Schizosaccharomyces pombe: one gene and its partner. The protein of the gene in region 1 purifies or fractionates together with the protein of each later gene. This does not show direct contact. Each region holds a gene or a part of one and is shown on either strand. Other genes may lie near its edges. The genes, in order: rgp1 and ric1.

Region 1 (6,593 bases):
TTGAGACCTTCACGATACGCTATAGACATTATTCGGGATCGCATTGAATTAGCATCTGGCCGACGGAAACGGAGGTCAAACGTAGTACGGTCAAGGGGCCGCAGCTTTGGATGAGCACGGTCATTGCAAATACAAATAATTGGTATCATGCTTTTTTTAATAATCATATTCAACTGACCAACGCCTCCACGATCACCCGATGACATGCCATCGATTTCGTCCATAATGAGTACAAGTCGGGACTTTGCCATGTCAACGGGGTTAGCTTTTGTGCCAAAGTAGCCGGCAAGTGATTGACTATCTGTCACACCGAACAGCTGCTCATCTAGCAAGCGCTTGCTTCTAGTGTCACTAGCGTTCAGTTCCAAAACATCGTAACCTTCTAATTTTGCTACCAAATGAGCAGCAGTCGTCTTGCCAATACCTGGAGGACCAGAGAGTAATACGGCTTTGTATAGACCCAGACCATCAGGTCCAGGTTTATTAAAGTTGGACTTCCTGTTTTTGTGGTAATCCTGTAGCCACTTTTGAAGTTTTTGAACGACACCCTTATTACCACAAATATCCTTTAAAGAAGTTGGCGCATATTTTGAAGTCCATATCTGTGAAGGTTGTGATTCCTTTTTATTACTATCGTCCATTCTCGCAACAGTTTCAAGGATTTTCTTTTCTTCTTGTTCCTTTTTCTGTTGAGCAGCCTGAGCCGCAGCACCCGTTCCTCCTGAAGCAGGAAGATGAGTTATAAGATAGAAGAGTCCATCCTCGTTAATAGCAGGAATCTTGTGTTGTTTAATTGTTTCCACTTTTCTTGGACCAGCATTCTCACCTAAGAGAATAAAGTCTGTTCTAACAGAAGGTGCACCTGTCACTTTTCCACCATATTGTTTGATCAGGTCTGTAGCCTCTTGTCTAGTTAAAGTCTCTAGAATTCCTGTAATAACAAAGCTAATTCCCGAGAGACAATCGCTATTGCCTTCAGGGACGGGTTTTGAGCCTGGAGTTTGTGTTGTAGCCGCCCGTTCATAGAAAGTACCTGGAGCCATCACACCCATAGAGTCTACGTCAATTAAAGGAACATTTTTGAGGGCTTGGGAAACTTCGTCTGAGAACCTAGGTAAGCCTTTCGACTTGCTAGAACGACTTGTGTGAGTTGTCGCAGTTGTGGTATGAGATTTTGACTTTGAAGTTGTCGATTTTTCTGCTTTAGGTTGAGCAGGTTTACGTGTAGCTCTAGTTTGATGGACAACTGGCTTACTGTCTGAAGTGGTATCCAAGTCATTGGCAAAATTTTCTGTTTTTACAGGATGTACGACATCTTTGGAAGTAGTAGTTTCTTTATTGGAGATAATCCGCGGTTTAGAACGTGACCGAGTAGACTGTTGTTCAAAGTACTCATCAGGTGTAGTTGAAACTCCATCTGAACCGACACTAAACAAAAATTCAAATTAGCGAACAACGCATAATGAGGTAAAAGTAAAATAAACATACAGTTTATCGTCTTCATGAACAATGGATGGCAAAGAATGGGAAATATCTTCCGACTCATTACTAGTTGGAGGGTTAGAAATATAAACTGATAACCCGAATTAAACGAACCGTTTTTGCACTTTGCTTTTGGATGCAGGAACTTTTGAATTCTCTATTGTACCATCTTCATCATCTGATAAAACGATTCTTTTTTTCTTCAAACTCCTTTTTGGTTTTGGGGAAGTAGGCTAGACAAAGACGTTAGAAAATGAATGACTAGCTTATCAAATTTGACTGATTGAAGAAACAAACATACAGTCGGTGAGACTTTTGGCTTTTTTTGAGCGTTCCCTCCTCCAAAGAAGCTTCGAATGTCAGAATTACTCATTTCCGACGATGAATAACAATTACCCAATTCCTGAGAAGCTACTGTCTAACTTCCAAAAAAGCAGTGTATGTATGTATATTGGGCGACAATAGCAAGGAATGTGACAATTTGCCAAAAGCAGAGAGTTAACAAAGCTTCGTTAAAACATTCGTAAATGAGTAAATTAAGGAATAGTAAGGAGAGTGTAAAAAATTGATTGTGGGCGTTCGTTATTTAATCTCGTAAAATGAGTCGTGGAGGAAGAAAAGTGGGCTCTTTTACAGTACTATTTTGATTGTGCATTTGTTACGAGACTAATAAACGTTCGTCAATACGAATGAAGAAATCCAAGTTGTATGGTTATTATTAAGGTAAAGCTGAAGCCAGCGGCTTGAGAAATTATCGAATATAAGAGTTTAGTGGTGTTCGACAATGACAGAATGTGATGTGCAAATGTACATGCCAGTGAATGTAGTTCAATCCGGAACTGACTTTGAGTGCATTGTAAAATTCACGAATCTAAGGAGTTCAGAAGATGTAAATTTACTTTTGTGCTATGCTTCTATCCATGGTGAAATGTACCTTGACTATGTACTGGTGCGCGTTACAGAATTCGATGAGGTTCAGAGGCAGGGGCTCTTAAACAAAAGGACAATGAGCGGATTAGTACATATTCCCAAGGTATCCAGCAGTTATTCTGTTATTAATACTCTGAACGGGATGATTGGAAATTTATTTGGAGTTAAACAAGCAAGTACATTGACAGAGGCCTCAGGTATGTAATGGTGAAAGGGTGCAAAAGGAAATAAAGACTTGGTAAAAAAAATCTCTCAATTGGCTTACATTTGGAGGGAAGATATAGCTCGGAAGAGTGCTTATACGGTGAGGTGGACATAAAGTCAATTGACGAATTACAGAAAGGTTGTCTGGGAAGAGTTTTGTAATTCATTTGAAACATATTTACTCTTTATTCAATTTTTTTTTTTTTTTTTTTTTTTTTTGGAAGATGGTTACTCTTATTTTTACTGCAACCTACTGCTTAAGCATGAATACTAACCGATAAAGAACAAAAGCAGGAAAATGCCATTCCAGTGCTACTGACTCGTCCAGATATATTAGGAGTCGATATCACGCTTTCTCCTGGAGAGGAAAAATGCTTTCGGTTGAAGCGAAGAATTCCCCTTCGAACAGCACCTACATATAAAGGATTGGCCTTTCGATTTCAACACGCACTGGTCATAGGAGTCCAATCAGCTACCAACAATGCTTGTGTAGAGCATGAATTTGAAATTACTATAGTACCCAACGTTCAACAGCAACCTGAACTGCCACTCGGAAAGAATTCGGGAAACAGACAATCCTCGAAGCTGTTTGCAGATTTATCCAAACCGATTATTGAAACAGATGCGGCAGAAATTGAAGAGGTTTCAGCAGAGAAAGCACGTAGGCAATTCGGTAAAAACGGTATACGACTTTCGCAGGATGCGCAGGAGGAAGAGAAGCAAAAAAAGAAATACGAGCAACACATAAAAAAGCTACTTGATGGAGAGTCTAATGAAGAGGGAGGAGGAGAATTCCAAGATCATGGAATGAGGTCAGAGATCAATGAAGAAGTATTAGAGGAAGAGGATGAAGAAAAAATTGCGTTGTTAAAAAAACTCGAATCCAAGCAACCAATGGCCACGAGGTTTGAGATTACAAGCAAACAAAAAGTGTTATGTCGATTGCTTTTGAGCAAAAGCAGATATCGGACAGGAGAGATGATGATGATTGAGCTAGAAGGACTGGACGCGATGGTTCGACAAGTGCATATGCAACTTGAAAGTGTGGAGCGTATTGTGCCAGACATCCGTATACGCAACAGCGTAGGGACGGAGAGGGCGACGCGAAAAGTGTGGTGTAGAATTACACGGGGAGTGTTTGAGTTGGAAAACATGAGCGCTTCGATGGTTGTGCCGGAGGAATGTCCGGAAACATTTGAAACACAGCAATTTGGAGTGGAACACTTTTTGCGGGTGGAATTGTTAAGGGCGGTGAACAAGAAACGTGAGATGCAGGGACCGGCGCATCCCCGATATAGTGAAGAGGTGCAGAGTCCGAGTCGATCGAGATACAGTGAAGAAGTACAGAGGGTGAGTGAAGGTAGATTGAGCGAAGAGGTAAGCAAGGAGGAAGAGAAGAAAGGAGGGAGGGAGAGCGGTCAGCACAAGCGAATGGCATCGCTAACGAATTCGCGAGAGATGCAAATCCAGCATGCACCGACAACGTTTGCGGCAGAGACGATTCAATGTGTTTTGCCGATTCGAATTGAAAAGCGAGTTGTGTGGATGGAAGATGGAATGGAAGGAGGGATGGAGGGGATGCAACCGGTTTAGCCAAACAATTGAGTAATCCGATCGTTGATCAAATCAAGTCTCAAAAAATTTTAACCAGCTCATACTCCAACCTTGCTAACGTCTGCGAGAATGGATGATTTCGCTTTTGCTTTCCATTTTGAAAATTCAATCCATTACCGCACCGTGCTCTCTCTCGTACTCCCCTCATTGTGCAGTAAAGTGGGAAGCCACGAAAAAAGGATATAACGATTGTTTGTGAGAGAGAAAGAACGAAAGAACGATGGATGATTGAAAGTGTCGCTTAGTTTTAAGATAACGACAATTCCCTTGATTTCGCAATTCTCCTTTTGGGTACTTTAGGCTCCCCTGGCTCCCTAACGATGCTTTCTTGTAGCGCTGGCTCTGGTGCGTGTTTTTTTGCGCTGATGCTTGATATCAATCATGTCATTTCATTCTATGCATTTAGGGGTTCGGACACTGAGTGTCACGAATGCAATCTATCATACAATATCAAATTTCCAATCTCTCGGTAACTTTGTATGCATTATTAGCAGACAAGTGACGTTTTATGCAGTAGTAGCAGTTTTTGCAATGGAAGTAGTAAGCCAGCAAGCAAGGAATGGAAAAGGTATGTTGTATGTGTATCCCCCCTTCCTTGTCTGACCTGACTTGGCCTAACCCTGTCTTAACGCAGCCTTGGCTTTCTTCGTTACACAATGCTATTTCTATTTTAAGTGTGTTATACTGGGTTATGCTATTCTCGAAGCCAATCTTGCCAATGTGAGCAAGTGAGCCAATCTCGGAAAAAACCTCCCCGTTCCTTCCTTTACCGCCGTGCAGTGAGAGGTGACGTGAAATTGAGATCATTGGTGATTGGGAAGATCAGATGGTTTTGGTACGACTTTTCTTAAAATTGCCATTTTGTCCATACCGTCAATGCCAAGGAAATTGACTCGATATCCGTTTCGGAACGCCCTGATACTACGTCATTTTTCAGGGTAGGGGTGAAGTCAGTTTTCTCAAGGGGGCACTGCCCCACATGGGCTCTAATGGACATCGGTGTTTTTTTTTTTCATCTTGCGGCACCAGTCGAGTCAGTTTGACCAAATTGGCCTTGAAAGATGACTGACCTCTTATTTGTCGATGACAGCGGCCCTCATTGACGATGACGACACTTTTTTGGAATGAGTGAATAAGGCGCGATAGTGTTTTCTCCTATTTGGTGATATGGAAACGGTGCGTTTTTCTACGCGCATCTTCCGAAGAGGTAAGGTTTGGCTTTCGAGACCTAAAAGTCATTCTCCTATCAATCGCGTCATGTTAGATTGTTGATGGGCCTTGGGCAGTGGGAGGTTCTTGTAGGGAAAAATAGCACGTTGCAAGAAGGACGAAAGAGCACAAGGAGGAGGATCAGAGAAAGAAAGAAAGAAAGAAGAAAAGAACAAATTCTTGCGCACTTCACTAAATAGATGGTAGCGAAACATATAAAAGAGGCTAGACATAAGAGAAACGCTAGACTTGGGAGAAACGCTGGAGGTAGGAGGAACGCTAGATATGGGAAGAGTTGAGTAGGGAGAGAGAGTAAAGAAAGAATGAAAAGGAAGATTAGAAGAAGAAAGAGGGATAGAATAAAAAGGAAATGGTTTTATTCCTGTTGAATGATTGAAATAGTTGTATGAATAGATGCAAATAACTATCATTAAACATATAAATAGATGCAAATACAAATAATACTAATAATTTAAATAATATTAACAATACAAATAATTTAAATAATACAAATAACTATCATTAAACATCTAAATAACTCGCCAACTAAACATCCAATTCCTATTTATAAACATCGAAACAACATACATCCGTATAAGAATGAATCTTGAGGATCCTTTTCATTATAATAGTATAGTTTAGTAAAGTAAAGTATAGTCTAGTATAGTATAGTATAGTATAGTATTTTCTTTTCTTTTAGATTTCCCCTTGACATTATCGACTCTTTTCTTCGTTTATTAGTAAAGCATGTATGTTACATTAAATCAAATTTCATTCGGTTTTTCTTTTTCCTTTATGTGCAGCGCTCAACAAAGGGACAGGGATGCTATGGACTAAAAATCGTGCTGATGGAAGCGGCAGACATTACAACGTCACCTGCAACGATGCCTTATCATATGTGCGTACGTGTGCAAATCGAGAATGGGATCGACGGACAAAAGAGATGCAATTTTCTTCTCGTCGCAGTAGGAGCGAGCATACAGCGATCGGGTGATACTTGGAGAATCAAGTAGGGACGAATGAAAGTGTGTATGAATTTGGGGAGTAGTAGGAGTAAAATGAAGAGTAAGGGGGACTAGTAAAGAGTCATGGTGGCCGTAAGAAAAGAATCTCGTATAATAAGAAAGTTTTCATATCAATAATATCGATGCATC
Region 2 (6,191 bases), on another chromosome or scaffold:
CTGGCCGAAATATGTGTTTCATCACCATAAAATACACCTAGCAGATACCATTCCTTTGGTTTTTTTGGATTTGAAACCGAAAGAGTATACCGTAGATTTAGAAACGCCAAAGCTTGTTGAAGAACTTACTAAGCAGTTACATGTTGCCGAAAGTACTTTAAAGGAAAACTCGGAAAAATTTAAGCAGAACTCTGAAAGTTTGAAGTCTAGAGTTGATAACTTAAACGATTATATTACAAAGTTGCAAAACGAAATTGACGAATGCAGAAGAAATTTACTGTGGGCAGAATCGTCATGTGAAACAATACGAGAAGAAAATCAAAAGAATATTAAAAAACTGAACGATGCTGAATCACTCAAAAGTAGGTTACTTCAATCCCGAACGCAGATGCAGACAGAACTTGATTCTTACATCACATCTAATAGTCAGCTTAAAGACGAAATTACTTCTTTGAAACAAACAGTCTCCGAGAGTGAAGCAGAACGGAAAAGACTATTCTCCAGTGCACAGGAAAAGCAACTTCAAATGAAAGAGACGGTAAATAAACTTACCTCATTACAAGAACAAAACAATGAGTTCGACCGTCAACTGAAAGAACAGGAGGAAGATTTGCAAAACAAAGAGGAAGAACTGACTGAACTTCGTAAATTACTCCGTGAACAAACGCAGGATAGTCAGAAATTACGTTTATTAGTTGAGCAATTGGAATTGGAACGTCAAGATTTGAAGCAGGCTGGTGAAAACCATTACTCGAACCTATCTTCTGATTACGAAACTCAGATTAAAAGCTTAGAATCCAGTCTGACTAACTCCCAAGCTGAATGCGTTAGTTTCCAGGAGAAAATTAATGAACTAAATTCTCAAATAGATGAACTGAAACTTAAGTTGAATGAAGCTAATAAAAAGTATCAGGAGCTGGCCATTTCTTTTGAAAACTCCAACGTGAAAACTCAATCAGTTGAGCCCGATAACGGTTTATCGTTGGAGGCCCTGAAGAATGAAAATCAAACACTTCTCAAGAATTTGGAAGATTCGACAGCACGATACGAACACCTGCAAAAGTCATTCAAAAATGTGTTCAATCAACTACGTAAGCAACAACCTTCTAACCATGGGAGAAACAGTTCTGTAAGCCGCTCTTCTTCGTCAGTGGAAGTTAATTCTAAGCATCCTGGCTCGGATGACATGCTAATAGATAAGGAATACACACGCAACATTCTTTTCCAATTTCTCGAACAGAGGGATCGTCGGCCTGAAATTGTGAACTTGCTGTCGATTTTGTTAGATTTGTCTGAAGAACAAAAGCAAAAGCTTTTGTCTGTGAAATATTAATGTGGTAAAATTTTCATTCCGTTTTACTGCTTTTTTCTCTTTCTTTGTATTATTCATCATATTGTTAATGTCCATTACGATGTGGAACATTTGTTTGATTTTGTATGCCGCTTTCCATTCTTGGCAGTGATTTCACGCGATAATATCTTTTGGAAGGGTATGCTATTATAATGTTAATAACGGTCTTTTGCATAGAACCCACGAATTCAAATACGTTTTTTTTTTTTGCGAATAATTAATTAAACCAATCAAGTTCTTTGTCTTGTTTTTGAAATCTTGAACCGAGCTTAGGTCTATTCGATTTATAATTAACTTTTTTCAAACCTCTCATTTAGGGAAATGAATAGGAAATCATGTACCAATGAATGAATTGAAGCCTTATTGTAATTTTATAGCTGATGGCTAATCTATTGTACAATTTGACAATACTTTCGTTAACAAAGCAGAGCATAATTTGCCATTCCTAAAGTAAAAATGGACTAGAAGCTTTTTCCTAGATTACTGCATTCGTTTGACATCTAGTAAATAAAATATCAGCTCCATTATACAATAATATAAGTATCCTTCAATTGATATGCAAGTTGCAAATTAACAAATTGCGAAATTATTATTTAACGAATTAAGTTGTTCCTTTTGTTGCACTTTTTAACGAAAATGGTGGTAGAACATCAGCGTCAACTGTTGATCCTTACGTTCTCAAAGGGTTCAGCATCCTTGGAAATGGTTAAACTCCTTGTCGAATAAGGTGAACTATTCATGTACTTCCTTCATGGAACACCTCAGAGAATACAATTGTCCTCCAGAGCAATACAAATATGTCGAATCCCTAAAGTGTCGTTCTTCGTTGTTTTGACTGAAACCGAGATTTTAATATATCAAATTCGACCCTTGACACTCATATCAAAGATAACAAAGTCTCAGAACTTATTTGAACGTCATGGAAAGAACAAAAAAATAGCTGTTAACTCTGAATACGGAATTATAGCGGTTGCAACTGAAAAGAACTATGTAGCTGTCTATCATTTCACTTTAAATGCTTCCAAGCCTGTACTAACGCCAAGTCCTTATTTAACTCGATACGATGATGGACCTGGCGAAATATTTGGGCCTATAAAGTGTGAAATCCAATACAAGCTTGCTATGCGATATGGAGGTGGGCTTAAATGCCTGGAGATTCAAAGGGACTCCATCGTTTATGCTGCAGATTCTGCACCAATTATTCAGGTTTCAACGCTGGAAACAACTGACCCTAATAAGTTGTGGAAAGTGTCAAGTAAACAGTACGATTTACGAGAAGTCACTTGGTTTCTGGATCATTCTTCTCTCATATCTCGACTCTATTTCGATGTTAAAATCGACACTTTCTTTTGGATGTCAACTGATGGAAGAGTTTATGCCAATATCGGTGTTTCTTCCAACACGAATACGAAAAGTCTGTTTGGCCTTTGCGTACATAACCCTGTAGATTTGAATAAGTCAGATAATGACAAGGACATTAATGAGGACCTGGAATCCAAGCTTAGAGAAAAGAAGGCGACTGTTTTATCTACAAATGCCAGATTTTCTCTTTTATATGTTGGTACCGCCGATGGAACTGTGTATGCTTATGAAATACGAGATTTCGGTCGCCAATATGTTCAAACTCATTCTTTTAAATATTCGGCAAGCTCCGGAAAGGTTAATCATATTGCTACGACAGGTGATGGCCATCAAGTTATGGTTGGATACGATGACGGTTGGGCTACACTGTCTCCTTATCTCAACTTGTGTTGTGCTAGTAGTGAAACTGAATATTTTAATTTTGGGTTATCCTGTGGCTTTTGGGATAGAGATAGTTCTTCCTTTTATGGACTAGGATCTAAAAATTTTTCTTCTACAGGTGAAGCTGAGGGAACGGGATTATCTACTCCGATTATCGCCGAATCCTTAAAAGAAAACGACGAGTTTTTTGCTATGGAAAAAGAGAACGTTGATATCCAGTATTTGTCACAAAACGACAATACAAATGATGTCTTATATAGTATTACGGATTCTAAACAATTTATTAGCACTATTTATATTTTACCTTTTTTAAAGAGCACCATAGTTTCAAGTGTACAAAGCACCTTGCAAGTTTGTGGAGCTCAAACTAGCGATCGGTTATATATTTCGAAGTCATATGAATTTTGTTCTAGCGTTAAAAACAATTTTGGCATTGACTTTTGGGATCAAGTTGAGTATCCTCAACCATATGTTGCTTCTGAATGGCCTATTAGATATGTTTCTATCAAAGATGATGGAAGTTTGATAGCAATCGCTGGGCTTCATGGATTAGCTATATATGTTTGCTCAAAAAAGACCTGGTTCTTATATAAAGATGCCAATATGGAACAATTAATCAGTGTTACTTGTCCAATGATTTGGTGCTCACAATTTTTGCTAGCCGGTGTTGTTTGCGAGTCCAACTTTGAGCTACACCTATACAAAGCAAAAGGGCCTTTAGACGATAGAGAAAACTTGGCTAAATTATCGTTTACTTCAACAATTGTGACAATGTCAGTCTGCGACGAATATTCTTTGGTTGTCTATACAGCTGATAATTTCCTCCATCACATCAGATTCGATATAAACGAATTAGGAAGATTAGAACTCGACTATTTAACATCCGTAAATTTTGCTCCAATATTCACTACTCCATCCAGAGTTCGAAGCATAACGTTATTACTACCAAAAGACCTTGCAAATATTCAACCTTCTGATTTACTTTTTTATGCAGTCCTTCTGGTTCTCATTAATGGAAAACTTGTTTTGTTAAGTCTAAAAAAACAACATTCTAAAGAGCTTTTATATCAGTGCAGCATGCTAGCGGGAGACGTTGAGTTTTACTTTATCAATGGAAGTCAAGAAATCCCTTCATTATTTCATTCTATATGGATCATGACGGGAAAGGGACTTAAGCTATGGTTATCTTTTAGCGAGATCCTTTCCTCTGTTTTGATAAATACTAAAAACCTTATAGATGGCCTTCCAAAGTTTCTCAATACATCAAAAAGAGTATCTCTAGAAAATTTTCATCGTTTATCTGTTGAAGACCTCAGATCGCCCAGCTTTGTCTACAAAAATGGGGTTGATTGTAACTTTGATAACACACATCTTGCTAAATTGATTAAAAATGTAAATATTTCTGAAAAGTTTCAAAAGGAATGTATAGATCTGGAATCTCAGGGATGTTTGCTGACTGTATTAAGCAATTATGGACTTCTATTAACTGCTTATACCCAGGGTCATAAAAACTTAGTTAATAAGATGGAATACGCTCATATCCAAATAGGTGTTTATCCATTCCTTCCGGAAATTGTTCGAGCACTATTACTGTTAGATAAACGTGAGCAAGCTATTGACTTAGTCAAGACATATGGGCACTTGCATTATATCAATTTTGTGTTAGAAAAATTACTTTCTTCATCATTATTGACCTACAACTCATCACAGCGAGATAAATTGCTTTATGAAGTATCCTTATTATTTAAAGACTTGCAAGAGTTTACCACTTTTAAAATCGTTCTGGGTTGCCTGCGAAAAACTGAAGCTGAATACTGGCCGATGATATTTAAGTATTTCGGAGAACCAAAAGACTTAATGAAAAAGTGTTTAGAAACAGAAGATGTTAAAAGTGCCGCAGAGTGTTTGATAATATGGCAGATCCATCAGGGTTCAGCCAGTTGTGCTTCTACCTTTCTAAGTATATACGAAATGGCTTTAAAAATAAAAAACTGGGACGTTTGTACGGAGTTATCTAGCTACCTGGTGAGTCTGGATCCCGAAAAACGTTTACTGAAGACAGCGCTGGAACTTCTCGATGAAGGGCCTGATTCCAAGGACATTCGTCTTTACGATCAATTTAACAATTTGATGAAAGAAGTGGATAAATATTAACCACAGTATATGTCATGATCAAAACTAAATTATTAAAGCAATTATCAAAGTAAAAAAAGAGGTTCAAAGCTGAATAAGCATAAAAGGTTTTAGCTTCAATGATGATTAGAAGTTTGAAAATTACGCTCTTAGATAAAAGGAGCTGATGCTTCGGGAAAAATCTAAAAACGTAAAAGTTCATTCTAGTAAAAACTGTCATAGCTATAATGTAAATAAAATTTTTTGCCTTGGTGATTATGGGACTTCGAAGAATCGGGTGAACTTCTATTGTTAATGAAGATTAAGCAAAATGCCTTTAAGTTATTGCCAGTTTATTTTTTGATTCAGCTTCGGCTCCCTGTAAACGCTTTTTTTGCTTTTCTTTGTATACATCTTGTTTTTTAAAGGTAGCAGAATAGCTATGTACTTTGAAACCAAAAATACGTGGAATGTAGCGTTCTTGAGATTTAGGGACCGCAAGTTCAGGGTATACCTGAAAAAGCATGTGAGGGAATGAGGTTCCAAAATATGCACCATCAATGGATGCATGTCTTTGTGATTTTGGTGTGTACACATCCTCACACCGAGGACAGTATAATTTAACGGATTTTGTATGGGCAATATCCGACAAGCCGACGGGCAACATTGGCTGTCCGTTGCATAAAACTCTAGGGCAATGCCCAAAGTCACATTTTTTGTATTTCTCAAGCTAGAAAGGATGTTAGTCAAAATCCAAAGCTAATTAAAACGAAATAGTACGGTATGACATAAATGTAATAAAATTGAAGAATTGAAAGATAAGTCAAGTTACACACTTAGTGTCCATTATACTTGTCTAATGCCTGTTTTGTTCACGAAGATTGTATCCAAACTTAAAAACAGGAAACTAGAAGTTTACAAACATAATTGCTTACCATTTTATATAAACCCTGAGCCGTTAAGATATAACGGGCGTGAATAAGGC

The links.
Region 2: the proteins of rgp1 (region 1) and ric1 purify together in Schizosaccharomyces pombe (affinity purification with western blotting; one study listed by BioGRID). This does not show direct contact.

What each region holds. Positions count from the first base shown.
Region 1 is NC_003423.3:3,854,088-3,860,680, forward strand, and holds rgp1 (protein sat1), read left to right. Parts: upstream 1-2,131; 5' UTR 2,132-2,266; coding exon 2,267-2,609; exon of another isoform or gene 2,610-2,899; coding exon 2,900-4,209; 3' UTR 4,210-5,929; downstream 5,930-6,593. Other genes in the region: DNA replication factor C complex subunit Rfc1, read right to left, coding at 1-1,428, 1,489-1,548, 1,597-1,715, 1,784-1,855.
Region 2 is NC_003424.3:4,502,740-4,508,930, reverse strand, and holds ric1 (Rab-specific(Ryh1/Ypt6) Ric1-Rgp1 guanyl-nucleotide exchange factor subunit Ric1/Sat4), read left to right. Parts: upstream 1-2,049; 5' UTR 2,050-2,089; coding exon 2,090-5,248; 3' UTR 5,249-5,445; downstream 5,446-6,191. Other genes in the region: grp1 (GRIP domain-containing protein), read left to right, coding at 1-1,333; CK2 family regulatory subunit Ckb1, read right to left, coding at 5,544-5,936, 6,142-6,191. UniProt on the Schizosaccharomyces pombe protein: Probable component of a guanine nucleotide exchange factor (GEF) that may be required for efficient fusion of endosome-derived vesicles with the Golgi.